Callithrix jacchus: one gene and its partners. The main gene of each other region encodes a partner of the protein of the gene in region 4 in a complex. Links are inferred from orthologs where the notes say so. Each region holds a gene or a part of one and is shown on either strand. Other genes may lie near its edges. The genes, in order: PIN1, WWTR1, NOTCH4, SFN, SHROOM3, SNAI1 and AMOT.

The links.
Region 1: the proteins of SFN (region 4) and PIN1 are in contact, whole or in part, in a crystal structure (PDB 7AOG), measured with the Homo sapiens proteins. The link is inferred for Callithrix jacchus from reciprocal best matches to the Homo sapiens genes SFN and PIN1. Residues at the interface, in NP_006133.1 of Homo sapiens: Tyr19, Lys49, Asn50, Arg56, Arg60, Lys122, Asp126, Arg129, Tyr130, Pro167, Gly171, Leu174, Asn175, Val178, Glu182, Ile219, Leu222, Asn226, Leu229, Trp230; in NP_006212.1 of Homo sapiens: Arg68, Arg69, Pro70, Ser71, Ser72, Trp73, Arg74, Glu76.
Region 2: the proteins of SFN (region 4) and WWTR1 are in contact, whole or in part, in a crystal structure (PDB 8R0Z), measured with the Homo sapiens proteins. The link is inferred for Callithrix jacchus from reciprocal best matches to the Homo sapiens genes SFN and WWTR1. Residues at the interface, in NP_006133.1 of Homo sapiens: Cys38, Asn42, Ser45, Val46, Lys49, Arg56, Arg60, Phe119, Lys122, Arg129, Tyr130, Pro167, Ile168, Gly171, Leu174, Asn175, Val178, Tyr181, Glu182, Asp215, Leu218, Ile219, Leu222, Asp225, Asn226, Leu229, Trp230; in NP_001161750.1 of Homo sapiens: Arg86, Ser87, His88, Ser89, Ser90, Pro91, Ala92, Ser93, Leu94, Gln95.
Region 3: the proteins of SFN (region 4) and NOTCH4 are in contact, whole or in part, in a crystal structure (PDB 7OR3), measured with the Homo sapiens proteins. The link is inferred for Callithrix jacchus from reciprocal best matches to the Homo sapiens genes SFN and NOTCH4. Residues at the interface, in NP_006133.1 of Homo sapiens: Lys49, Arg56, Arg60, Lys122, Arg129, Tyr130, Glu133, Gly171, Leu174, Asn175, Val178, Glu182, Leu218, Gln221, Leu222, Asp225, Asn226, Leu229, Trp230; in NP_004548.3 of Homo sapiens: Arg1914, Arg1915, Phe1916, Ser1917, Ala1918, Gly1919, Arg1921.
Region 5: the proteins of SFN (region 4) and SHROOM3 are in contact, whole or in part, in a crystal structure (PDB 6FCP), measured with the Homo sapiens proteins. The link is inferred for Callithrix jacchus from reciprocal best matches to the Homo sapiens genes SFN and SHROOM3. Residues at the interface, in NP_006133.1 of Homo sapiens: Ser45, Val46, Lys49, Asn50, Arg56, Lys122, Arg129, Tyr130, Gly171, Leu174, Asn175, Val178, Tyr181, Glu182, Leu222, Asp225, Asn226, Leu229, Trp230; in NP_065910.3 of Homo sapiens: Arg1239, Ser1240, Arg1241, Ser1242, Ser1243, Ala1245, Thr1246.
Region 6: the proteins of SFN (region 4) and SNAI1 are in contact, whole or in part, in a crystal structure (PDB 4QLI), measured with the Homo sapiens proteins. The link is inferred for Callithrix jacchus from reciprocal best matches to the Homo sapiens genes SFN and SNAI1. Residues at the interface, in NP_006133.1 of Homo sapiens: Ser45, Lys49, Asn50, Arg56, Lys122, Asp126, Arg129, Tyr130, Leu174, Val178, Glu182, Ile219, Leu222, Asp225, Asn226, Leu229, Trp230; in NP_005976.2 of Homo sapiens: Ser175, His176, Thr177, Leu178, Pro179, Cys180.
Region 7: the proteins of SFN (region 4) and AMOT are in contact, whole or in part, in a crystal structure (PDB 7NPB), measured with the Homo sapiens proteins. The link is inferred for Callithrix jacchus from reciprocal best matches to the Homo sapiens genes SFN and AMOT. Residues at the interface, in NP_006133.1 of Homo sapiens: Val46, Lys49, Asn50, Arg56, Arg60, Lys122, Arg129, Tyr130, Gly171, Leu174, Asn175, Val178, Tyr181, Glu182, Asp215, Leu222, Asp225, Asn226, Leu229, Trp230; in NP_001106962.1 of Homo sapiens: Val171, Arg172, Ser173, Leu174, Ser175, Glu176, Arg177, Leu178, Met179.

What each region holds. Positions count from the first base shown.
Region 1 is NC_133523.1:9,032,967-9,036,466, reverse strand, and holds part of PIN1 (peptidyl-prolyl cis-trans isomerase NIMA-interacting 1), read right to left. Parts: intron 2,412-3,500; coding exon 2,199-2,411; intron 1-2,198. UniProt on the Homo sapiens protein: Peptidyl-prolyl cis/trans isomerase (PPIase) that binds to and isomerizes specific phosphorylated Ser/Thr-Pro (pSer/Thr-Pro) motifs.
Region 2 is NC_133518.1:35,618,970-35,622,469, reverse strand, and holds part of WWTR1 (WW domain-containing transcription regulator protein 1), read right to left. Parts: intron 2,486-3,500; exon of another isoform or gene 2,234-2,485; intron 2,067-2,233; exon of another isoform or gene 2,040-2,066; intron 1,957-2,039; exon of another isoform or gene 1,606-1,956; intron 1,394-1,605; exon of another isoform or gene 1,393-1,393; intron 1,244-1,392; coding exon 810-1,243; intron 1-809. UniProt on the Homo sapiens protein: Transcriptional coactivator which acts as a downstream regulatory target in the Hippo signaling pathway that plays a pivotal role in organ size control and tumor suppression by restricting proliferation and promoting apoptosis.
Region 3 is NC_133505.1:39,684,691-39,688,190, reverse strand, and holds part of NOTCH4 (neurogenic locus notch homolog protein 4), read left to right. Parts: intron 1-119; coding exon 120-503; intron 504-614; coding exon 615-784; intron 785-2,194; coding exon 2,195-2,414; intron 2,415-2,609; coding exon 2,610-2,691; intron 2,692-2,771; coding exon 2,772-2,910; intron 2,911-3,390; coding exon 3,391-3,500. UniProt on the Homo sapiens protein: Functions as a receptor for membrane-bound ligands Jagged1, Jagged2 and Delta1 to regulate cell-fate determination.
Region 4 is NC_133508.1:63,511,781-63,514,950, reverse strand, and holds SFN (14-3-3 protein sigma), read right to left. Parts: upstream 1,814-3,170; 5' UTR 1,751-1,813; coding exon 1,004-1,750; 3' UTR 501-1,003; downstream 1-500. UniProt on the Homo sapiens protein: Adapter protein implicated in the regulation of a large spectrum of both general and specialized signaling pathways. Binds to a large number of partners, usually by recognition of a phosphoserine or phosphothreonine motif.
Region 5 is NC_133504.1:121,266,144-121,268,754, forward strand, and holds the end of SHROOM3 (protein Shroom3), read right to left. Parts: intron 1,490-2,611; coding exon 1,121-1,489; 3' UTR 501-1,120; downstream 1-500. UniProt on the Homo sapiens protein: Controls cell shape changes in the neuroepithelium during neural tube closure. Induces apical constriction in epithelial cells by promoting the apical accumulation of F-actin and myosin II, and probably by bundling stress fibers.
Region 6 is NC_133506.1:45,525,252-45,529,365, forward strand, and holds the start of SNAI1 (zinc finger protein SNAI1), read left to right. Parts: upstream 1-1,314; 5' UTR 1,315-1,394; coding exon 1,395-1,476; intron 1,477-2,156; coding exon 2,157-2,684; intron 2,685-2,764; exon of another isoform or gene 2,765-3,335; intron 3,336-4,114. UniProt on the Homo sapiens protein: Involved in induction of the epithelial to mesenchymal transition (EMT), formation and maintenance of embryonic mesoderm, growth arrest, survival and cell migration.
Region 7 is NC_133524.1:109,163,941-109,168,049, forward strand, and holds the start of AMOT (angiomotin), read right to left. Parts: upstream 2,801-4,109; 5' UTR 2,420-2,800; intron 1,321-2,419; exon of another isoform or gene 1,192-1,320; intron 1-1,191.

The DNA of each region.
Region 1 (3,500 bases), on a different chromosome or scaffold from region 4:
AAAAATTAGCTGGGCATGGTGGTGGGCGCCTGTAATCCCAGCTACTCAGGAGGCTAAGACAGGATAATTGCTTGAACCTGGGAGGTGGAGGTTGCAGTGAGCCAAGATCGTACCACAGCACTCTAGCTTGGGTGACAGAGCCAGACTCTGTCCAAAAAAAAAAAACAAAATAAATAAATTAGCGAGGTGTGGTGTTATGAGCCCACAGTCCCAGCTATTTGGAAGGCTGAAGTGGGAGGATCACCTGACCCCAGGAATGTCAAGGCTGCAGCGAGGTATGATCACTGCACTCCAGCCTGGGTGACAGAGCATGACCCTGTCTCAAAAGAAGGAGAAAAAGATTGAGGTCCAGAGATATTAAGTAACTTACTCAAGATCCCATAGCCAGGACCTGGCAGAGCTGCATAGGAACCCAGGCTGTCTGGACATGGTTGAGAGACGGGTTGTTTGAAGCAGGGACAGCCCAAGAGGGTTCTGGAAACTCTGAGAAAGGCTGTCAGACACAACTTGCTGCAAGAATGGAAATTTTTTTGGTTTTTTTGTTTGTTTGTTTTTGGGGGACGGAGTTTCGCTCTTGTTACCCAGGCTGGAGTGCAATGGCTCGATCTCGGCTCACCTCAACCTCTGCCTCCTGGGTTCAGGCAATTCTCCCGCCTCAGCCTCCTGAATAGCGGGGATTACAGGCACACGCCACCATGCCCAGCTAATAAGAATGGAAATGTTTTATATTCCCGCTGTCCAAGATGCCGGCCAGCAGCTAAAGTATGACCAGTGTAACTGAGAAACAGTTTTTGATATTCTTATTTAAGAGAGGGTGTTGCTCTGTCACCCTGGCTGGAGCGGGATAGCACGATCTCAGCTCGCTACAATCTCTGCCTCCTGGGCTCAAGAAATCCTCTCACCTGTCTCCTGAGTAGCTGGTACTACAGGTGTGTACCAACACGTCCAGATAATTTTTGTATTTTTCAGGCTCAAGTGATCCTCCTGTATTGGCCTCCCAAAGTGCTGGGATCACAGGTGTGAACCACTGCATCTGAGCAGTAATACTACTTTATTTTAATTAATTTACACAGAAATAGCACATGTGGGGAGTGGCAGCCAAACTGGACAGCTTTAGACAGGGTTCTGCAAATGACAGACTGCAGGCCAAATCCTGCCTGATTTGGTAAATAATAAAGTTTTCTTGGCACACAGCCATGACCATGTGCTTGGTTATATATTGGTTATGGCTGCTATCCAGTTACAAAGCAGAACTGACAGAGACTGCATGGCCCACAAAACCTAAAATATTTATCATCTGGCCTTCAAAGTTTACCACCCCAGTGCCAGACTGCAGAAGAAAGACAGAACAGAGAAGGGAATAGCTTCCTTCCTTAGGTCAGAATTAACTCACTAGTTCTGCTGGCATTCACTACCCTTCTTTTTTCTTTCTTTCTTTTTTGAGATGGAGTCTCACTGTTGCCCAGGCTGGAGTGGAGTGGTGCAATCTCAGCTCACTGCAACCTCCACCTCCCAGCTTCAAGTGAAGCTGCCTTAGCCTCCCTAGCAGCTGGGATTATAGGCATGCACAATGACGTCCAGCTCATTTTTATATTTTCAGTAGAGACGGGGTTTTGCCATGTTGGCCAGGCCTGACCTCAGGTGATCTGCCCTCCAAGACCTCCCAAAGTGCTGGGATTACAGGCGTGAGCCACACGCCCTGTATGCAGTCACTACCTTTCTGACAGCTCTCTCTGGATCTATCTACGTATATGACTCAGTCCCCTATTGGATATTACTACTGACAACAGTTCCCACAGCCTGAGGGTCCACTGTGCAAAATGCATTGCCTTATTCCCTGGAACTTTCACAGTGGTCCTCAGAAGATGCCCATTTTACAGAGAAAGTTAAGTCTAGGGGAGGTGACATGAGTCCCCCCTCAAAGGTCATAGAATTCACAGAGGCACACTACTACCTGAACCGGGGTCTGCCAGCCCCCAGGCTGGGTCCTCTGCCCTTACCTGGCTCACCCTCAAATGCCAGATGGAAGGGAAAGAGAACGGCTGCTGTGAAGGTCAGGGTCACGTACTGGCATTTTTGTGTTGGCCAACACCACTCCTGGTAGCTGAGCAAGCTGGGGTGAAGGGTCTGGTGTGACTTCTACAAAGGCCCACCTGGAACAAGACCTCCTCCCAAGCCCCTGCCCTTGCCCTGCTCACCGTTGATAAGCTCCAGGGCCTCCTCCTTAGTCCGGGTGATCTTCTCCTGCCGCCAGGACGAGGGCCGCCTTGACTGGCTGTGCTTCACCAGCAGGTGTGAGCAGCGGACCCTGGCGGGCTCCCCCTGCCCGTTTTTGCCACCACTGCTGCTGTTGCCACTGGGCCGCTCCCACTGGCTGGCGTTAGTGATGTGGTTGAAGTAGTACACTCGGCCTGGAGGGGAGGGCAGGCAGGAATTCAGCTGGGGCTGTGCTCACAGGACACTACCTAGGCCCACAGCCAGAAGCCAGGGTAAGGGCCTGGCCTGGGGTAGTGCCTTCATTTAGTAAATCCATGGCGTGTCCACCACGTGCCACAGGCTCTTCAGCTATGGGCCAGTGTGGCAGGACATAGTCACTGCCCTTAGAGTTAACATTCTAGGTAAGAGCAGACAGGCACTAAACAAGTAAACGAAACACAGGATAATTTCAATCACTGACAACCTCAAGGAGGAAAATAACCCAGGGTGATGGAAGAGAGGAAGCTAGGGGAGAGGGAGTGACTCCAAGCATGGACTCAGCAGCCAGACCGCCTGAGTTCAAATCTGAACCTGGGTTCAAATGTGATCTACCTTCCCTGAGCCTCAGTTTTCTCACCTGTCAAATGGAGACAACAGTTCCTACCTTAGGATCATTGAAATAACTAAATAATAATGTTTTAACATTTTAAAAAGGTCTAAGTACGATGGCTCTTGCCTGTAATCCCAGCACTTCGGGAGGCCAAAGTGGGGTGAATAACCTGAGATCAGGAGATTGAGACCTCCCTGGCCAACATGGCGTAACCCCATCTCTACTAAAAATACAAACATTGGCCGGGCACAGTGACTTTTACCTGTACCAGCACTTTGGGAGGCTGAGGCGGGTTAATCATCTGAGGTCAGGAGTTTGAGACCAGCCTAGCCAAGAAAGTGAAACCCTGTCTCCACTAAAAATACAAAAAAATCAGCCAGGCATGGTGGCAGGCGCCTGTAATCCCAGCTACTGGGAGGCTGAAGCAGGAGAATTGCTTCAACTCAGGAGGCAGAAGTTGCAGTGAGCTGATATTGTGTCACTGCGCTCCAGCCTGGGCAAAAAGAGGGAAACTCCGCATCTCAAACAAACAAACAAACGTTAGCCGGGTATGGTGATGTATGCCTGTAATCCCAGCTATTTGAGAAGCTGAGGCAGGAGAATCGCCTGAATCTAAAAGGCAGAGGCTACAGTGGGCCAAGATCATGCCACTGCACTCTAGCCTGGGTGATAGAGTGAGACTTTGTCTCAAAAA
Region 2 (3,500 bases), on a different chromosome or scaffold from region 4:
GGGTACCACAATTGGAACAATCTCCTCCAGTGTTTGAGAATATATCTTCCTGTGGGGTGTAATTTGAAAATTTGAACCTAATGTAAAATTCATGACATCAACAAGCTGGAACAATGTGAAAGGAAGAAGAGTGACGAAGCAGGCTTGTGATTTGATGATATCTAAGGTTAACAAGTTTAATGTGATAAAACTCCTGACACAATTTCCACACAATTGATTTGTCCAGCCCACAACTACATCACTGTGCTGTGTGGTCATTATGTCATGCAGCTGGGAGCAGTAAGGCCTACCAGCCACAGTTCACTTTTCCGGCTTGCTTTTCCCAAGAAGATAGAGACTGCAGACCACCTACTCCACCAAGAGTCCCTCTGTTCCCCAAGCCTCGCAGCTTTTCTCTCATTTATCTTGGTGTCACAGCCCAAAGGGCCTGGCTCTGGACTATCTGACTTAGAGTGGCCAGGGAAAAGGCTAAGGGTCTGTGCATAGGAGTCGGCTTCAACCTGCAGATTCAGGGCAAAGTCACCTGTGTGTTTTATGGTGGATGAACTTCACCACACTCTCTTCTGCTTCTTATCCCTTACAATTCCAACACCCAGAGACTCATTCCTTGCTTCCAGCTCTCCATATCTGTGAAGGACACGCACCATCTCTCCCTCTCTCCCTCTCTCCCTCTCTCTCTCCCTCTCTCTCTTTCTCTCTCTCTCTCTCTCTCTCTCACACACACACACACACACCCATACACACACACGAAGACTCGCGTGCGTTGGGCACCGTGACTTGGTGTCCCCTTCGGATCCAGGCTGACTTACTTGAGGAAGTACCTCTGGCCAGTGGCGGTGAAGGTCATCTCCCAGCCCGGGGGCAGCGGCAGCTCGTCGGTCACGTCGTAGGACTGCTGGCGGAGGTGCGCGTGCTGCTGCGCGGGGCTAGCCGGAGCGCCCGCGCCGGTGCCCAGCTGCAGGGACGCGGGCGACGAGTGCGAGCGGACATGCTGGGCACCGCCGGCCAGCCGAGGCCCCGGGTGGCCTCCCGACGAGTCGGTGCTGGACTGGCGCGAGTGCGAGCCCGAGTCAGGCTCCTTGAAGAAGGACTCCGGCAGGATTTTCTTCCGCCACGAGCTAGGCTTCGGGTTCATGACAGAGTTGAAGAGGGCTTCGAGGTCTGTGTCTAGGTCCTGCGTGACGTGGATCACTTGCTGCCCAGGCGGCGGGAGCGGAGGGGGCGCCGAGGCCGGATTCATCTTCTGCAAAAAGAAGGTCAGATTAGCCTTTTCTTTAAAGTCGGAGGAAGTGGGTAAGCGGGTTAGGGGGTGAGAGAGCGAGATGGTGGGAGGAAGAATAGAAGGAAAAGGAAACGAGGAGACAGATAATTGCCCGCCTGGAGATCCCAGACACTCAGCGGTAAGACCAGCAGGATGGGGGAGGGGTCCCTCCTGGCCTCGAGAATTATGCAACTTTCTTGAAGCAAAGAAGTTGCCTGGAGGAGAAGGAAGGGCGGGGGATGGAGGGAGTAACTGCACTCGCGGCTTGCGGAGCCGCAGAATGGCAAAGCAAAGGTCGCAGCTTTCCAGGACAGGCAGCCCCCCGAAAGAAGTTCAGCCCGAACCAACTCCACGACGTCTCGACTCCGGAAGCCCGAGGAGCCTGGAGTCCTGGAGCGGTGCTGGGAGAGCGCGCGAGCTCCAGCGGGCACTACCTGGGCGGGCAGCGAAGCTGAGCCTGAGCGCGCGGCGGCAGCCGTCCCGCCCGAACTTGCCGTCGGGCCTGGGTCGCTCGGGTGAGTCCCGAGTTTGCGCAGCTGGAGCCGAGGCGAGGCTGACAAATTCCGACCAGACTCGGTGCCTGGCAGCCTAGGGGCTTCGGCTCTCACATCCCCGGAGCTGGCCTCAGGCGCTTGCGCTCGGAGAGAAGGAGGCGCAGGAGAAGCAGACAGCGCGGCCGCAGCAGCTCCCGGACTGTCCCATAAACAAAGTTTGGAGCAAACTCCCACCCCCAGGAAAGAGGCGGGCCCGAAAGTTGAGCTATTGAATTATGTATGACCTCCTAGTCCCCAGCCGGCAAGCCCCCGCTCGCCCCTCCTCTTCCTCCTCCTCCTCCTCCCACCCCGGCTCCAGAAAACCCTGGGCGTGATGGGTACTTTACTGGGTAAGAGGAGACGGGTGCCCCCCACCCACTCCTCCCGACTGCGCGGACCTCTCCCGCGGAGCCCTACATCTGCATTCCTTTGAGTTTACCACGGACTTGGGGCGGGATCAAAGGGAAAGTGGCCCAAGCCTGTTTCATCAAGGGGTTGTGGACCGAAACCAAGGCCGGGGGTGGCGGAGGGCACGCGGACGAGGGGCTCAGGCCTGGGAAGGGCCGGTCCTGGACGCTGCGCGCTCCCCTGTAGCCGGGCGCCGAGGCCGGCAGCACCCGGAGCGCTGCACTGACCCGCGATTCTGCCCGAGGGCCGGCCTGGGTGCGCCCCGGCGCGGGGAGACACCAACAAGGCCAGCCTTTCCACGGGAGGCTGCTTAGCTCTTGTGACCATATTTGGTCTGGCGAGGAGGCATCTTGGCTGCTTGGCTCTCAATTGTCTGCTAGAGCACAGACGGTGCCCAGAAAGTGCCTCTGTCACTGGAGATGCGGCTTCGCCAACGGCTGCGTCGTAAACAAACAACTTTCAAACCATTCATCAATCCTTAATTTCCTCTACGGGGGTGACTCAGGCCTCTAGGGATTGAGAAGAAATCGGGTCAAAGCTGGGTGCTGGAAGAGAAGAGCAATTGCGCCCCCCTCCCCCGCAACATCCGTGAGGGTTGTGGGAGGATTGGAATGTCCCTGCCGCCCTCCAGGGAGCCTGGAGCAGGGATAGAACCCGAGCAGGTGGCTGGGAGTAGTGAGGGTGCGCCAATGACCTGGAAAAAGCCACCCACCTTCCCACCGACTAGATCTGGGCGAGGGGTGGAGACCCCTTGCCTCTAGCTAAGGGAAGAAGGTCAAGCCTGGTGAAACAGCTCTGGGAAGTGGGAGGAGGCCTTGCCCTTCAGAGCAGCTCAATTCCTTTTCTCTGGTTCTCTCTCCACTGAGGGGAAAAGGTGCGGGGCGACAGGGGCGTGGGGGGAATGGCGAGGTAAGCCAAATTGCAGGAAGCCCTTACGCCACCCCATCTGATTCAAATAGTTTATAAAGAAAATCAAATAAGACAATGTAAAGCACTTCGCATAGCACCTAGCTGGTTACGTAAGTGCTTGTTAAATAAAACAGAACTGCATGTTCTGTAAGTTGACGTATTGTGCCTTAATATTTTTACAGGGTAAAATAAAGTCAAAGTTAAAATCTGGAGTTGCCTTGAAGGAGAAAGTTTAAGGAAAGGACAAGGCCACTAATAGTTTTGCCTTGGAAAAGGTGGAATTTTGGGGCCACTCCCTTGAATGGCTGTATCCCTACCCAAAACAGAACTACACCCACCAAAGTGAGCCACTTCCCCTGTTATCTGGGGAATTGGAGGTGTGCTCCAAT
Region 3 (3,500 bases), on a different chromosome or scaffold from region 4:
GCTGCCCCGACTTAGCAACCAAAGCTCTAGAGGCCACAAAATATGGGGAATTCTCTCTAGAGTGAAGAAAAGAGTCAGGTTTTAGGGAGGTCCTGAGTCCCCCTCTCCTCACTCCACAGTCCAGCCTATGACCAGTACTGCCATGATCACTTCCACAACGGACACTGTGAGAAAGGCTGCAACACTGCAGCATGTGGCTGGGATGGAGGTGACTGCAGGCCAGAAGATGGGGACCCAGAGTGGGGGCCTTCCCTGGCCCTGCTGGTGGTGCTGAGCCCCCCAGCCCTAGACCAGCAACTGTTTGCCCTGGCCCGGAGGCTGTCCCTGACTCTGAGGGTGGGGCTCTGGGTAAGGAAGGATCGTGATGGCAGGGACATGGTGTACCCCTATCCTGGGGCCCGAGCTGAAGAGGCGCTAGGAGGAACTCGAGACCCCTCCAATCAGGAGAGAGCAGTCCCTCAAATGCAGCCCCTGGGCAAGGAGACCGATTCTCTCAGTGCTGGGTAAGAAGCTGGGTGGAGGGAAGGGCCAGACACCAGTTTTGATTAAGAGGGCAGAGGGAGGGATGGGAGCCAGGGACCAACACAGGGGTCTCTGAGGTGCCTGTCCTATAGGTTCGTGGTGGTAATGGGAGTGGATTTATCCCGCTGTGGCCCTGACCACCCGGCATCCCGCTGTCCCTGGGACCCTGGGCTTCTACTCCGCTTCCTTGCTGCGATGGCTGCAGTGGGAGCCCTGGAGCCCCTGCTGCCTGGACCCCTGCTGGCTGCCCACTCTCATGCAGGTACCAGTAGGTGACCCCTTGCCACCTTCTCTGACGTTTGTTCCCAGGCCAGCTCTCATGCTAGCAACAGGCAATGGAGGCTGAATGAAACAGGATAGCTGAGACTGAAAATGTTCTTTGTAGCCAGGTGCAGTTGTGCGTTCCTGTAGTCCCAGCTACTCGGGAGACTGAGGTTGGAGGATCTCTTGAGTCCGGGAGTTCTGGGCTGTAGTGCGCTAAGCTGATCGGGTGTCCACACTAAGTTTGGCATCAATATGGTGACCTCCCAGGAGCGGGGGGCCACCAGGTTGCCTAAGGAGGGGTGAACCGGCCCAGGTTGGAAACAGAGCAGGTCAAAATACCCGTGCTGATCAGTAGTGGGATCACGCCTGTGAATAGCCATTGCACTCCAGCCTGGGCAACATAGCGAGACCCCATCTCTAAAAAAATAAAAATAAAAGAAAGAAAATGTTCTTTGTAGGGACTTACGTTCCCTAACCTCACTTTCTCTAACTGAATCACCTGCTGTCCCATTTATTTTACAGTCTAAGTACATTATCCTAATCTCTGTTATAGCCCTCCAACAAAGGGCTGCTTTATCTTCTCTACCAGACTGGGAATATCTAATCGTCTTGGTATCAGATAACTCATACTACATGAAAGAATAATAGCTGTTATTATCATACTTATTCTGTGCCTTACTCCAAGCATTTTACATCGTTACCTCATTTAATCCTCCCCACAACCCCATTAGGGACATACTACTAGTTGAGTATCCCTTATCTGAAATGCTTAGGAGCAAAAGTGTTTCAGATTTGGGACTTGTTTATTTTGGAATATTTGCATTACAGTTACCAGTTCAGCATCCCTAATACAATATCCAGATGGACAATGAGCGTTTCCTTTGAGCGTCATGTTGGTGCTCTGAAAGTTTCAGACTTTGGAACATTTCAAATTTGGGATTGGGATTATGGATATTCAACCTGTTTTTCTGTGTGTTTGTTTGTTGAGACAGTTTCACTCTATCACCCACGCTGGAGAACAGTGACGCCATCTCGGCTCACTGCAACCTCCACCTCCTGGGTTTAAGTGATTCTCATGCCTCAGACTCCCAAGTAGCTGGAATTACAGGGGCATGCCACCACACCCTGCTAATTTTTCTTGTATTTTCAGTCTAGATAGGGTTTTGCCACTTTGGCCAGGCTAGTCTTGAACTCCTGGCCTCATACGACCCACCTACCTCAGCCCCCCCAAAGTGCTGGGATTACAGGCATGAGCCACTATGCCCAGCCTCAACCTATATTATCATCCCCATTTTGCAGATAAGGAAATCGAGGCAAAGACAGGCTACCAAACTTGTTAAAAGGTCTCCCAATAGTAATCAGTCTCACCAGGAGTGGCCTCTCTTTGTGACTCTGTCTCTTCCACCAGCGAACCCTGCCAACCAGCTTCCCTGGCCTGTGCTGTGCTCCCCAGTTGCTGGGGTGCTTCTCCTGGCCCTAGGGGCTCTTCTCGTCCTCCAGCTCATCCGGCGTCGACGCCGAGAGCATGGAGCTCTCTGGCTGCCCCCCGGGTTCACTCGACAGCCTCGGACTCAGTCAGCTCCCCACCGACGCCGGCCCCCACTCGGCGAGGACAGCATTGGTCTCAAGTGAGAATGAGGAGAAACCTAGGTTCAGGAAGGGGAGTCTCTCCTATGTCGAGATTTACAATCAGAAGAGCTAAGAAATACTACCGCGGAAGTCAAAAATAGGGGAAGGACACAGGGGTGGGAAGCCTGCTGGAAATCTTGGAGACCTTGATGGTCATAATTCCATGTAACTTCTACCCACCCATTCCCTTCCAGGGCGCTGAAGCCAGAGGCAGAAGTTGATGAGGATGGAGTTGTGATGTGCTCAGGCCCTGAAGAGGGAGAGGAGGTGGGCCAGGTGAAAGGGCTGGGGCAAGAATGGTCTGGAGGTGATGGAAGGGCAAATCAACCTTCACTGATCCTTGCTCTTACCCCAAGGCTGAAGAAACAGGCCCACCCTCCAAGTGCCAGCTCTGGCCGCTGAGTGGTGGCTGTGGGGAGCTCCCTCAGGCAGCCATGCTAACTCCTCCCCAGGAATCCGAGATGGAAGCCCCTGACCTGGACACCCGTGGACCTGGTATGTGAGTCAACCCAGACCAAGACAAAAAAAAAAAGGCCTTCGACCCTATTAGAATCAGAGTCCTTTAATATCAGAACTAGAGGAACTAATTTTAGACTGAGTGCTTTAGAACAGTGATTCTCAAAGTGTGGTCCTCAGACAGCTGAATCAGCATCACCTGGGGTCCACTATAGAGCTACTGACTCAGGAATTCAAGATGTTAGGCAATCTGCTTCAATAAGCTCTTCCGGTGAATCTGATCCAGACTCATTTAAGAAAACCAGTGCCCTGGAATGTCAGATAATTAAGCTGCAGGTTCCTTTTACAGAAGAAACTCAAGTCAGAGAAAAGTAGAAAAGTCACTTGATTAAAGCCTCATAAAGTGCCAGAACTTAGCTTCCTGGCACCTTAGGTTTTGATTCTCTCTGAGCTTCCATGATGTCCCCTCCCCCTTGTTGGGAACTTTAGATTGACCCGTGACTCATGTCTTGCCCACAGATGGGGTGACAACCCTGATGTCAGCAGTTTGCTGTGGCGAAGTAGAGTCCAGGACCTTCCAAGGGGCATGGTTGGGATGTCCTGAGCCCTGGGAACCTCTGCTGGACGGA
Region 4 (3,170 bases):
ATCTCCGAACTCTGTGGGACACGACTCTCTCCTGAGATCTGGGGTTTTAGGGTTGCGCTATACCTCTGCCTCACTCAGATGGTATTCCCCTCCGCTGAGATCGGAGCCCGTGATGAGACTGTGACCTGCTTGCAAATCGGGTGCTCAGTGCCGCTCGCTACTGCGGCGCTGTCCTTAGATCTCACGCCGGAGACTTCACTGTTTCCTGCCCCGCCCCACCTGAGCTCGTCAACCTCGCGGCTCCCACTCACCTCCCCTCAGCCCGGCAGAGGAGCCTTGGCGCCTCCTGTGGGTTCACCGGCCCCTTCCGGGCCCGTCCAGTGTGGGGCCTCCCTGAAGGACAGAGCTGGACCCCGGCCTCACCTGGACTCAAAGTCTTGCGTGCGGGTCACTGAGCACCCAGGGAGGTCAGGGTCCTAACTCAGGTCCAAGTTCAGGGTCTCTAAATCAGATTCCAGTCCCACTCCCAGCCCATCGCCAAGAACTGGAAGAGACAGGAGGAGTGTTACAGGGGAACTTTATTGAGAGGAAACATGATCACACCCAGCCGACATGCTTTCCCTCAATCTCGATCTTGCACTGGCAAGCGCACGCACACACACACACACACACACACACACACACACACAATCTCTAGCCCCTACCACTGTGCAGTTCTCAGGCACAAGGCGGGACACTTACTCCTCAATTCCTAACATCAGGCAGCAGGGGCAGGAGGGAGGCAAGATCGGGGAGAAGTAGCCTGGTCGTGGGGTCGGCAGGAAGCGGGTGCAGAGAGCAGGGGTGGGGCATGACCAGTGATTAGGTGTGCTCAACAGCTGCGAGAAGAGTGGGATCCCCAGCCCCAGGTGGCCTCGGCTCTGCCAGTCCCTTTCCATGGAACCTTTTGGAGCAAGAACAGCGCCTGGGGGAGAAGGGTGGGGCCTCTCACCCCATACTAGTCCTCTTGGCAGGGTGGGGTACTGGAGGGGGCAGGGCAGGGCCGGCTGGTGGCGGGCAACACTCAGCTCTGGGGCTCCTGGGGCGCCTCGCCCCCCTCTTCCCCGGCGTTGTCAGCCGTCCACAGGGTCAGGTTGTCTCGCAGCAGCTGCATGATGAGGGTGCTGTCTTTGTAGGAGTCCTCGCTGAGGGTGTGCAGATCAGCCATGGCCTCGTCGAAGGTGGTCTTGGCCAGCGAGATGGCCTCCTCGGGGCTGTTGGCGATCTCGTAGTGGAAGACGGAAAAGTTCAGGGCCAGGCCCAGGCGGATGGGGTTGGTGGGCGGCATCTCCTTCTTGCTGATGTCCATGGCCTCCTGGTAGGCTGACCGGGCCGAGTCAATGATGCGCTTCTTGTCGTCACCGGTGGCCACCTCAGCCAGGTAGCGGTAGTAGTCGCCCTTCATCTTCAGGTAGAAGACCCGGCTCTCGGCGTCCCCAGACTCCTGGATGAGGTGTCTGTCCAGCAGGCCCAGCACAGTGTCGCACACGCCCCGGAGCTCAGTCTCCACCTTCTCTCGGTACTCATGCACCTCGGGGCCCTTCTCCTCCGAGCCCTCCTCATTGCTTTTCTGCTCAATGCTGGACAGGACCCTCCAGGCAGCCCTCTGGCCACCCACCACGTTCTTGTAGGCCACAGAGAGCAGGTTTCGCTCTTCGCAGGAGAGCTCCTCGCCCTTCTCCACGGCGCCCTTCATGAAGGCTGCCATGTCCTCATAGCGTTCGGCCTGCTCTGCCAGCTTGGCCTTCTGGATCAGACTGGCTCTCTCCATGGCTCTGGGAACAGACAGGAGGGCGGCGGGTAACTGCTGCCTGGGACCAATCCCGGACTCTGTGCCTCTCCTGCTTTCGGCCTGCCTTTTGGCTGGGTGGCCAGGCCCTGAGAAGGGTGGGGAGGAGCAGGGGGCAGGACCAGGGCCCAAGACCTGCCTCCCTCTCCTCTCCTCCCCACACCCTTTCCGGCTCTGCATGAAAGGTAAAAGGGTTGGGATGTGGGAGTGAGTCATCAGGACAGTCAGCAGGAGAAATCTGGGCGTTGGCCCCACCTGCACAGGTGCCTTTCTGGGCTCCACGCTGCCCCCTCTTGTTCAGGACTGGCATTACATGACTGCCCACATCAGGAAGCTGCCTGGCTTCTCATATCAGATCCTCTTTCACAGTGCCCTTCCAGGGGCTAAGGATGGCTTTAGCCCCTGGCTGCTTCAGCCTTGATAGAGCTCATAAAGGTTCAGGAGGATGGGGTTCCTAATCCGGAGAGGTAACTTCCCCCGCTTGGTTCAGGGGAGAATAATTCATGTATAGGTAGGGCTATACAGTTTCTCAAGCACTTTTATATTCATGATCAACTTTAATCCCCTCCATGTCTCTGTGACATACACAGGACCATAGAGATGGGTACACTAAGTTTCAGAGAGGGGTGAGATTTGCTCAAAGTCACATAGCCACCAATTCCCTGAAACTCTTTTCTGCACCCTACCTCCTTTAGATTTTCTCCCATGAGGCCTCTGACCTATGAGCTCCAGGCTGTGTTTGGAAATGAGATCCAGGCTGCTTCCTCAGTCTACCTGAAGACAGTTCCATCCCCCAGATGGGTCCCCTCTGAGCTCCCAGAATGCACAGGTGGCAGCTTTCGGAGTGCCACTTAATAAAGTGTTTAACAAGCAGCCTCTGACGCTCCAGCCCAGCCTTTGTAATTAGTCACCCAGTAGGTTTGTTGAACACATTTCCCATCACTACACAATTTTCCCTTTCAAGTTGGTGGCCTGTTGCCACTTGTTTGAGGACTTACCCTCTGGCCCTCCATGCCAGGTCACCTGCCCTCTCCAAGCCATATGCCATCAGGTACCAGCGGGGCTTCCAGAGGGTGGGGTCCAGCTCCCCAGCTGTCCCACTTTCCTGCCTGACTCAGACTGCCCTCTTGTCTGAGGCTGGGAAGCAGTCCAGTTTGATCCCCCAGGGGGGACGCTAGCAACCTGGGGAGGGAGAGGACTGAGGAAGGTAGGTGGCAGTGACACATATCATTCTGTTTTATGGGGCAGCAATCCCAGCTACGTGATGCCTCCCCCAGCCTGTCTCAGAAGTTTCCCTGTTCCTTCTCTTTTTTTTTGAGAAGGAGTCTCGCTCTGTCGCCCAGGCTGGAGTGCGGTGGCAAAATCTTGGCTCCCTGCAACCTCCACCCCTCCCAGTTCAAGC
Region 5 (2,611 bases), on a different chromosome or scaffold from region 4:
TTACAAAGTAACTTCTGAGATGTTATTATTGAAACACGATAAAGCAAAATCAGTCTTCAGAGGTTAAGGAGGGAGTTTTTAATCAAGTGTGGTTGACAGGCTTGATATTGTAGGAAAACTTTTTTTTTTTTTTTAAAGCATCATTAAACAACAGCCTCAATAAACAGGCTGTATTTAGCCCAAATCTTGTTCAGGAGAACAGCATGGGTTCTGTTTTGAATTGGCTTGGATTCTGGACTTCCTCTTCCTATTACATAGGTCTGAGAGTTGTCTTTGTTAATAAAATTTAGCTTTGTTTCCCCACCAGTGATAATGACATGAAGCACCAGGAAATGATGCAATAACCACGGTACACAAGGCCTTCCTCCTGGGGAAGGTGTGACACAGGAGAAGAGCCGGGGAGGACTCCCCCATACTGTCCAGTGAAGTGCAGAATACCTGCTCATGTTTGTAAAAATAAGACAAGTCAGGAATGCAAGAAAAAAAGTCTTCACGCTCAATGTGACTATCTTTGGAATTCATTTCATTAAGGTTTTCACAAAATACAAAGCTCAAACGTAATTATCTACGTCCACCACAAAACAGAATCAAGTAAGTGGTTAGCACAACAAACAATGATCGTTTCCATTTTAAAAAATATAAATAACAATGTTCAAGGTTTTACAATTTCTTCTTAGTGTGTGTCTTTTTAAGGCTTTATGTTGCAGACCCTTCATTAATGGTACTTGTACCCTGCCATCAGGATACACTGCCCACCAGCAAGGAAGGCCACTGTGGATACATTCCTGAGGGGGACACACACGGATCCATGTTGCCTCAGCCTGTTAAAGACTAAATGATCAAACACCCTCCAATCAGTTCTGTTTCATTAACTTACTTTCTACTACAAAGTAATAATAGAAAGGGGTATGTGTCCAGCAGCATTCAAGCTCTCAGAAGATCAATCAGGAAGGGCAAGAAGGAAAAAACAGGCTTCCTCCTGGAGAGAATTTTTTTCCTTTCATCCAGAACAAACACCAATAACCCAGATAGTTCAAACAGTGGTTTGTACTGAAACATTTTTCAGATTAAATAGTGTTGATAGAAACAGTCATCTTTTGGTTGGGTATTTTAGAAGAGGTTAAAGTGGAGAGGGTAATGTTGGGAAAATACCACCGAAAGTACAGCTCCCGGTAGGAGTGGGCTCACTCGTGAGGTCTGGGGGCAGAGCCAGGGCCCCGGCCTTGGGAATGAAATCCGAGGGCAGGCTCTCCAGCAGACACTTGACCTGCTCCTGGCCCAGCTTGATCTTGTCGTCCAGTTTCCGCTGCTCGATGAGGAGTGTGGACTTCATTTTCACGAAGTGCTGGTAGTCCTGGAGCTGCTCCTCAGAAAGGTAATTGGCCAGGATGCCCAGCACCACCCGCTCCCTGCGATCCAGGTTCTCCTTCAGCTCCCGGGCATCCTCGTGCTGCCCAGCAAGGATCTTCCTTTTCTCATAGAGAGAGCTCTGCCAGGGCAAATTGGACAGATCAACAAAGGTCAGGGGAAAGGAGAAAAGAGCCAGACTCCCTGCAAGGACACCTCTGACAGGACTGGGAAATATCTATGCTCGATTCCTATTGTCACTCTAAGGAGGCTAACTGTTTGAAAATCAGCTTATTATCTTTATATTGCATATTACAGCATTCTCTAATTTGTAATGTCATAGGGTAGCTTCAATTTGAGAAGTATTACTTTAAATTGGCTGGGAATAAAATTGCTTTTGGATTCTAGACTTAAAAAACCAATCATCAGCTGGGCATGGTGACTTTGGGAGGCCAAGAACAGGTGGATCACTTGAGGACAGGAGTTCAAAACCATCCTGACCAACATGAGGAAACCCCGTCTCTACTAAAAATACAAAAATTAGCTGAGTGTGGTCATGCATGCCTATTATACCAGCTCCTCAAGAGACTGGGGCATGAAAATCACTTGAACCCGGGAGGCAGAGGTTGCAGTTGAGTGGAGATTGTGCCACTGCACTCCAGCCTGGGTGACAGAGTGAGACTCTGTCTCAAAAATCATCATCAAGGTACCTTGAGGACTACACTAATACAGTGGTTCTCAAGGTGTGGTTGCTGGACCAGCAGTGGCATCACCCAAAATGCCCTCTTCCACCTCCTGAATCAAAAACTCTGGAGATGAGGCCCAGAAACCTGTTTTAACAAGCCTTCCAGATGATTCTTTTGTGGCTAAAGTTTGAGAACCTCTCCCTAATCCATAATAACAAGGGGATCATCATATTTCCCATCTCCAGAGAAGTCAGTTTCCACTTTTTCAGTTCTCTTTTGCAGGCCTCTGAATATAAAATGAGAGAAATTCTGTTCAACAATGATGGCAATGTTATGTTCTAAGAGTTTCTAAAACTTTTCTATGATATTGTAGCATATATTATCTTTAATGTGGTTTTCTATCCAACATGGTAACACATAACATTTTTAAATTAAAAAAAAAATTATACTTAACCATTCACACATTTTAGGCAAAGTAAGGAGACAAACCCACAGACAACATTATATTGAACAGGGAAAAGATGAAAGCATTCCCCCTGAGAACTGAAACAGACAAGGATTCCCACTTCCACCACTGC
Region 6 (4,114 bases), on a different chromosome or scaffold from region 4:
GTTGGTTGGGGGGAGGGTGCGTAAAGGTGTTCATGGTCTTCCTTCACAGATGGAAACAGGCATGGCGAGACCTGTGGGGTTTATTTCAGCACCACCCCTGGGCCTGGCATGCCTCCAGGGAAGCTGGGGTAGGGGTGCAGCTGCTCCTCACCTGGGCCCACCACACATACATTCAGTCAGGGTCCCTTAGGAGCCGTGAGAGCCTGTAGACAGGATGGGGATCTTCAAAGGGCTCAGGAGACACACCGGCCTCATCCCAACTCTTTGCCGGCCTACGGGGATCTTTTTCAAGGAAACTCTAACCAGGTACCTCCTCAGCTGAAAATCCTTCGGTGGCTCCCCAGTGCCCTTGAGGCAAAGTCCAGATTCCTCACATCTGACCCCTCCGGGCCTGCCCACCCCACCCCATCCCTGGGAGCTGCTCTCCAGGAGTTACTCGGAAGCAGTTGCCAGTTCTTCCCTCGGGCCTTTCCCCTTGATAATTCTTCACTTCCTCTGGGCAGTCACCCCGACCCCCTGTCAGGTGACCCGCCTCTTAACGGTCGCCGCGTCCCGTCTCTCCCCCACCAAAGCACACTTCCCTTTGCATTGTAATTGTCTGTTTACTTCAGCTGTCTCCCCCATTGGACGGGTAGCTAAACTTCGAGAGAGGCTCTGAGTGTCCTGTCCAGGGCTGTGCCCCGGCCCCAGGTACAGTGCCCCACACGTGCTGGACGCTCCGTAAACACTGGCTAAGGGAAGGAACGGGCGCACTTCGCTAGGCTGCTTTGCAAAAAAGCCATGGCATTTCATGCTGCCAAGAGCCACGTGTAGTGTCCGTTTCCTCGCATCCTCCCCAGCAATATGCATTTCCCTCCTCAATGCCACGCTCTCCAGGCGCCAGCCGGGCGGAGGAAATTTCCGCCCCCTCCCAAGCCCGAGGCGGGGGCGGGCTTCGGAAGGTCAGGTGTCCCGGCCCGCGCGCAGCGCCAGGGGGCGTCAGAAGCGCTCCGACCGTGGGGCGCTGAGCGGGTGGGTGCGAGGGGTCCCGCCTCGCAGGGGCCTAAATGCGCCCGATGTCCCGCCCCGGACAGCCCCAGCACTGGGAACGACCAGCGCTGCGCTCCCGAACCCCGCCTTGCAGGAGCCTCCGCCCGGGCTCCCAGCGCCACGCGGCGCGAGCCGGGTCCGCCCCCGGCGCACCTGCTCGAGGCGTGGCCTTCGGCGGAGACGTGCCTCCGATTGGTGCTGAGGTGACAAAGGGGCGAGGCAGATAAGACCCCTCCCCTGCCGCCCCCTGGAGTATTTAAGGGAGTTGGCGGCGCGGGTGCACTCATTGCGCCGCGGCACGGCCTAAGCGGTGGTTCTCCTGCGCTACTTCTGAGCGACTCGGCGACCCCGGTGCGTTGGCCACCATGCCGCGCTCTTTTCTTGTCAGGAAGCCCTCCGACCCCAATCGGAAGCCTAACTACAGCGAGCTGCAGGACTCTAATCCAGGTGCGTTGGAGGGGTCCCGGGCTCCAGGAGATTTGGGGGAGACAGGCGAAGGCTGCGTGGGGGGCACCTGAAGGAGGCGGCCTGCTTGGGCCAGGATCGATTCGCAGGATGTTTTGTGGAGCATTGAGGGCTCGGGCTCGGGAGACCGGGCAGGTAGGTCTCCAGTCCCAGGGATCTATCTGAGTGGTTTGGGGGGTGCCGTGTAGCGGGCAGGGGTCTTGCGCTTGGGGGGCCTTTGTAGCCTGCGAGAGGCGCAGGAGCTCCCGAGGGGAAGGAGGCCTGTGCCAGGAGGGCCCGCCGGACGCTGCTGGGGAGAGTCCGGAGTCCAGAGTGTTGAGGAGAGGGGTGGAGAGACCAGATGTGTGTGAGGAGGGGGACTGGGGTGGAGTGGTGGCTCGGGGGCTGGGGTAATGGGCTTCTGGCTTCAGGCTGGGGACTTGGGACTCAGGAGACCGAGATCTGGAAATGACCCTCTTCAACTGGGGGTCCTACCTGTGAGAGACTCAGGTTGGGTGACCTGGGCGAGGAGGGCAGGAATTTGGTCTGCCCTATGGATAATTTTATTGATCTAATTATGTGTTGAGAGTCAGCCTCACCCAGCCCCTGGCCAGCGGTGGGCTCTAGTTTGTTGATTGAGTGAATGATTTAATTAACGCCTGACTCTGCTCTTTCTCCCTCAGAGTTTACTTTCCAGCAGCCCTATGACCAGGCCCACCTGCTGGCAGCCATCCCACCTCCGGAGATCCTCAACCCCACGGCCTCGCTGCCAACGCTCATCTGGGACTCTGTCCTGGCCCCCCAAGCCCAGCCAACTGCCTGGGCCTCCCTTCGGGCCCAGGAGAGCCCCAGGGCGGCAGAGCTGACCTCCCTGTCAGATGAGGACAGCGGGAAAGGCTCCCAGCCCCCCAGCCCACCCTCACCGGCTTCTTCGTCCTTCTCTTCCACTTCGGCCTCTTCCTTGGAGGCCGAGGCCTATGCTGTCTTCCCAGGCTTGGTCCAAGTGCCCAAGCAGCTGGCCCAGCTCTCTGAGGCCAAGGATCTCCAGTCTCGAAAGGCCTTCAACTGCAAATACTGCAACAAGGAATACCTCAGCCTGGGTGCCCTGAAGATGCACATCCGAAGCCACACGCTGCCCTGCGTCTGTGGCACCTGTGGGAAGGCCTTCTCTAGGCCCTGGCTGCTGCAAGGCCACGTCCGGACCCACACTGGTAAGTGCCCCTCCTGGCCCGCCCCACTGCTTTCTCTGCCAGCTTTTGTGAATCTGGGCTTACTTTTCTCATTCTCAAAGTTGTAGACACGGAGGCCCCGAGTCTCCTAACTTCTAACTCAAGTTCAGGGGCCCGGCTCTCTGGAAACGTTTGGCAGAAATGTTCCTTCATCAGCTAAGCAGATGGGCAAAGCAGACACCTTTCCAATCCCCTGCAGCCAGCTTCTCAGCCAAATGGGTAGGAGCTGGATATGGGAAAGGTGCCACCAGCACCTTGTGGTGGTGGCCAGGTGCGAAGGGGTCCGCCTGGCCCCACCCTCTCCTGATCCACCCCTCCCTAGCCAGACAGGATGTTGTCAGACCCCCCCCCCACCTGGCTCTGAATCCTGCTTTGAGAACTTTCTCAAAGCTTGGTCTGATGTTTCACTTCTGTGAGCCTCATTTTCCCTATCTTTCAGATGGGCATGAGAACAGCCTATGGGGTTTCTATGCAGGCTAAATGCAGGAATGCGTATGGGAAGCACCTGGCAAAGTGCCTGGTACCTGCTAAATGCTCACAAAAATGCTTCCTTGCCGTTTGCTCGGCTTCCCTGCTGTGTGACTTTGGGCAAGCAACTTAACCTCTCTGAGCCTCAGGGGAGGATTATGATAGGTAAGTTTTAGAGAGTGACTGTGAAGGTTGATAATCACTTTATGCTAATCACTTTGCAGTAATTTATCATACCTGGTGGTTCTCTGGTCTGCTTCCCCACCCCCACTCAGTCCTATCTGGCAGACCAGGAAAGGCATCTTTGGGGCAGACAGCGCAATCATGTCTTGGTGTCTTGAAAATTTACTAAATGCGTAGGAAACTTTCTGGACGTGGAGAAAAGGTAGAACTTTTTAGAACTTGAATGGTGGTGACCACCATGCCCAGAGCTGCTCTGGAGAGTGACGGTTGAGAGAGGAGATTCCAGGGGTTCACCCCGGGCAGGTTCTGCCATTTCCTGACCCAGCACCTGACCTCGGAGTGGTGAGGGTCAGTGCGGTGTCTGGAAGGCCTGGCCTTTTGCAGGCTTTATTGGCATCTTACTCAACTAAGGCTACCCATTTCTCTTCCTTTGTGCACCCTTAGCCCTGATTTTAACATGTAAAGGTCCAACTGCCTGGCCTTCTGGGTGCCTGCCTAGCTCACAGGGCTCTATTTTGGGAGCGTTGAACCCCTCAGGGTGCTGCTCTGCTGTCCCCCCTCCCTTGCCCCCAATCCGGCATTATTTTAATGTAAAGGCACGGCTGGGACACAGAAATGTATCACTGCTGTCCTCATTGACTCCCATTGTGTGCCTTAATGGTGGGCCCAGTGGGTGGGGGCTGGGAGGAGCAGAGCAGGTGCATGGGGCAGCGGTGCCCAGCACCTGTTCCAGTCGCAGCTGCTGGCCCAGTGCATGGCAG
Region 7 (4,109 bases), on a different chromosome or scaffold from region 4:
GCAAAGGACAATTTCTACCAGACAGTCCCCAAGAATAGACTGTTCTCATGCATTCCAAATGCTCAGTCTCCATGGAGGAGGCTACCTGGTCGCAAGCATTTCCCAAGCGGGAATATATCCTCTATTCCTCCTCACTGGTAACAACTCCCCCACTCCACCCCCACGCCCCAAACAAAACAAAACTTCTAACCATCTTGAGAACCTCAGGGGACTTTTCTGAGGTAAAGGACAAGAAACGTTAAGAGGGGAACAGGAAAGTGTGAGAAACTCCTCTTGTCTCCAAATGGAAAAAAGGCCTTAAAAAGCTGGATCAAAGGAAGAAAGGGGGATGGGGAAGAAGGGCTGCTTAATTACAAAGACACCCTTTTAAAGAAGGCGCAGGCCCTGGGAGAGGGCTCTTAGGAGAGGCACAGAAGCAGATGTACCCACTTAGAATTCTGGCACTCAATGGGACCTCAAGGTCATAGTATCCATCCCCCTGCCTTCTGATTAGGCTATTCTTAAAGCATTCTAGAGTCTGATGTGGTCTTTACAAAACCTCAGAGAAAGCAACTCTACAAATGTCCTAGTTGGGAATTAGTCTAATAAATCCAACTTCATAAACTGGAAATGAGATTTTAATTTCTAAATCCAAAATTGAATTGACTATTAATTATTAAAATTCCCTTTCTAAAATCTTTTAAATAGCTAAACAGATCCACAAATTTCATGTAAAAGTGACTCCACATACAACGAGGTTTACTTCACATCTACACCATGAAGGTAGAAAAAAACACTTTCAATTTTACAAAGCCACAAACTTTTCCAAAGAAAGAAGTAATTTAAAATGAAGTATGATGTCGTGCCAGAAAGTGTCTGTCGATGACACCGGATAAACCCATACAGAATAGCTGGAACCTGAGTTATCATCTGTAAATAGATGCAACTATTCTACAACCACCTGGCTGTTAAAGTGTCCCAGGCCAGTTATAAAATGTAGTTTGGCTAGGCCAGCTTTTCCCTCCCAGCTGATCTGAAACAGGATAGCCTTTAAAACTGTCGCCATGTAACGTTCCTTCTCTACCTTCCTACCTTCCTTTCCCTCATTAAAATCAACCAAAGCTATTTTTAAATGTATGTAAATAATGTGTTCCCAAATAAGCAATGAGTTCAGGACATCACAGAAATAAGTCTTTGAACACCACGACTTACAAGTTTGATGCACTTGTCCAATTGAAGATAGGTGGGAGATGGATGAAAATGTATCCCACATCCAAAATGGCATTTCAAACTATTCTTAGCTACTAAATGAGGGTGCTGAAAGGTCTGAGAAGGCTTCACAAAGGCTGGCCTGAGAAAGAACTTTTCACAAAGCCTAGCTCAAGGAGACTTAAATACCCTTAGCCCTTCATCATTGAAGATTATGGTGACTAATTATCTTCCTCTCTGAATGGGAGAAGAGGGTTATATTCATAAAAGTTTTAAACTGCCTCCCAACTTCCACGGAGGGAGGAGAACTGAACTAAACATCCTAGGTTGTTGAAAAATTCTTTCTAAAACATACGCTAGAGATTGAAAATGCTGTTTCTCACCAACTTCCTCTTTCCTTGCTCATTTAATCTTATTTAGTCACTTTATGAACATTATTATATTATTATTAGTGGAAATTTACCAGGAACTGCTCATAGTCTATTATAAAGGCGTATTTTTACTCCCACTTTTCTTTCTCTTGATTTTCACATATCCACGAAGTCCATCTTACTGTTGAAGCACCAACGTACAGTGGCCCAGGCTTGGACCCTCAAGACACCTGCCTGATCCCCCAAAACTATTTACTAACATCTTTGGATCTTCTAAAGTAGATAGGGGCAATTCCCTCCTCATGACCACTATCACCACCACCACAAGCACCACCACCACCACACATTTCAAAAAGTAGCCTTATGTTTTAGATTACGCAGACTTTAAAACTTCAAGAATTCACGGTCCTACCCCTCCTTCTCCCGCCTCAGGGAGTGTGAGTCCACACCCCAAGCCTAAGCACTTAGGAGAAACCTATCTAGTTATCTGAGATAAGCACTGACTTGCATGCTAGGCTAAAAGTAGATTTCAGCTTCCCTCGGGTCTTTAGCTCCTCAATGTGATTAATTTCCTAGAGACCCAGAAGAACCCCAGGAGGCAAGGAAGTAAAAATACCATCTAGTAGTGGTACCCACTAGCATCTCCTCACTTAAGCAGGACGGGAAAGCAGCGCACACTCTAACCGATTTAACTTGCTGCACATCCTGAAAAACTCATGGCCAGCTGCAAAGACAGCAGAATACACGGGCATTCTCACACGCGCCTAGATCGATTCACTCACGCCGAGGGCACGACCAAGTTCATGCCACCATGGATTCCTGCCCCAGTTCCCCGCAAAAAGTAACCACACGTCTCCTACCCCTGAAGGCAACGAAGACAAGGTGACGACTCTCTGCTCGCTCAAGTGGCTTCGGTCCCGGGCCAGCGGCCAGGGATGGGCAGGGGGGAAGCCCCAACTCCTGGCTGCTCCCCTCTTCGCTGCTCCGTCCGGGCTCTCCTTGGTGGCAGTGGACAGGCAGGATACCGGGCCAGAGGGTGGAGCAGCGGATGGTCGGAGGCGAGATTGACTGGAGGTGGTGGTAGTTGGAGGGGGAGGCGGAGAGAACTAAGAGAAGAGGAGGCGAAAGAGAGCGGAGACGGAGGAGTAATTCAGGGGGTCTACCAGTTTAGGCAGCCAGAAAGCTCCTCGGAAGGAAGGGGCGTGACTGCCAAGGCAGCTCCTGGGCAAAGGATGGGAGGTAGGGGAGGGGGACGAACGGGTGGCTTTTCTTCTTGCGGTGAGCGGCTAGGACCGCCCCGGAGCGGCAGGGCGGGTGGACTGGGGAGGAAGGCGGAGTAGAGGGCGGGGAAAGAAGGGCGGGAGCTTGCCTGGACCCTGGAAGTGAGGAGCGAGGAGAGCGCGGAAGAGAGGCGGGGCCGGGGGGCGGGGAAGTTTCAAACAATTAAACCGCGGGGTCCGAGAGCTCGGGCGAAAGTTGGGGACCCTCGCTCTCGCCTTTCCACTAGAGGGGCACGACTCGGTTGCCGTAGCCGTGAGAGTCTGCGCGGGGACTGGCTGGGGAGAAGGAAAGGGTTTTGCAAAAGACTACAATAATAACCTACGGCAACAGCGCGGCATACTCGCGTGGGAGAGCCAGTGCAGCTCTCCGCCCCACAGCGGGAGGAAGAAAAGCAAATAATAGAAATGCTGAAAAGCAGCTTCCACCAAAGCCTGCTTAAAATAATGAAGGAAGGAGCAGTGCTCCTTCGTTTTCCTTCCCCTCTCGCTTCCTATTACTAGCAGGCCCCCACCCAGGTCACAGCTCTGCGAGACACCCTCCTTTCTTCCTCCGCTCCCCCACCCCGGGAGTTTCCCCCGCCTCCCGATGGCGGGCTGCAGAAGCTGCGGGGCGAGGGAGGAGGGGGTCGTGGGCGGGGCTCTGCAGAGGCTCCGCCCCTGGGCGGGCTGTTAGATGCGGCCTGGGCGGAGCGGGCCCCTGAAGCGTAAGTCCCGCCCACCATTCTTTTGCCGCTACTGGTTGGCCGGGCCTGGCCTAGTATACGTTTGCGATTGGGCCCGGGAGTCGCCAGTCTGATCCTTTTGTCCCACCAGTCCTCAAAATTAATAAAACTAAACAAGAGGCTATTGTGTAGCTCTATGTTCTACCCCAGCTACCGCTGGGAAGAGAAAGATGAGACGCTTTCTCAGTCTCATAAAAGAGTGCAGCAGTGTGTCGGCCGACTCTGGTACGCCTTTATGTTTATAGCACTGTCCAGCCCTCCACGAATAGGTAACTTTTCTTTCCCCTTAATTCATTAAATCCGGAGGGGGAAAAGTACATGAAGTGCCAGTGTGGCGTTCACATTTCCTGGCTGTGGAAGAAAAAAACTGATATTGGTTAAAAACAGAGGGTTGAGAACAGTATACTGGGACACGGAAAATCTACCATTTTACATCTGGGAAAACGAAGGCACAAAGAAACAGTGTAGGGGTAGCAAAATAACATAGAATTGAGAACCAAAAGAAGAATTCATTTGGGGCTCTGGCACTTACTAGCTAATTGTATGAC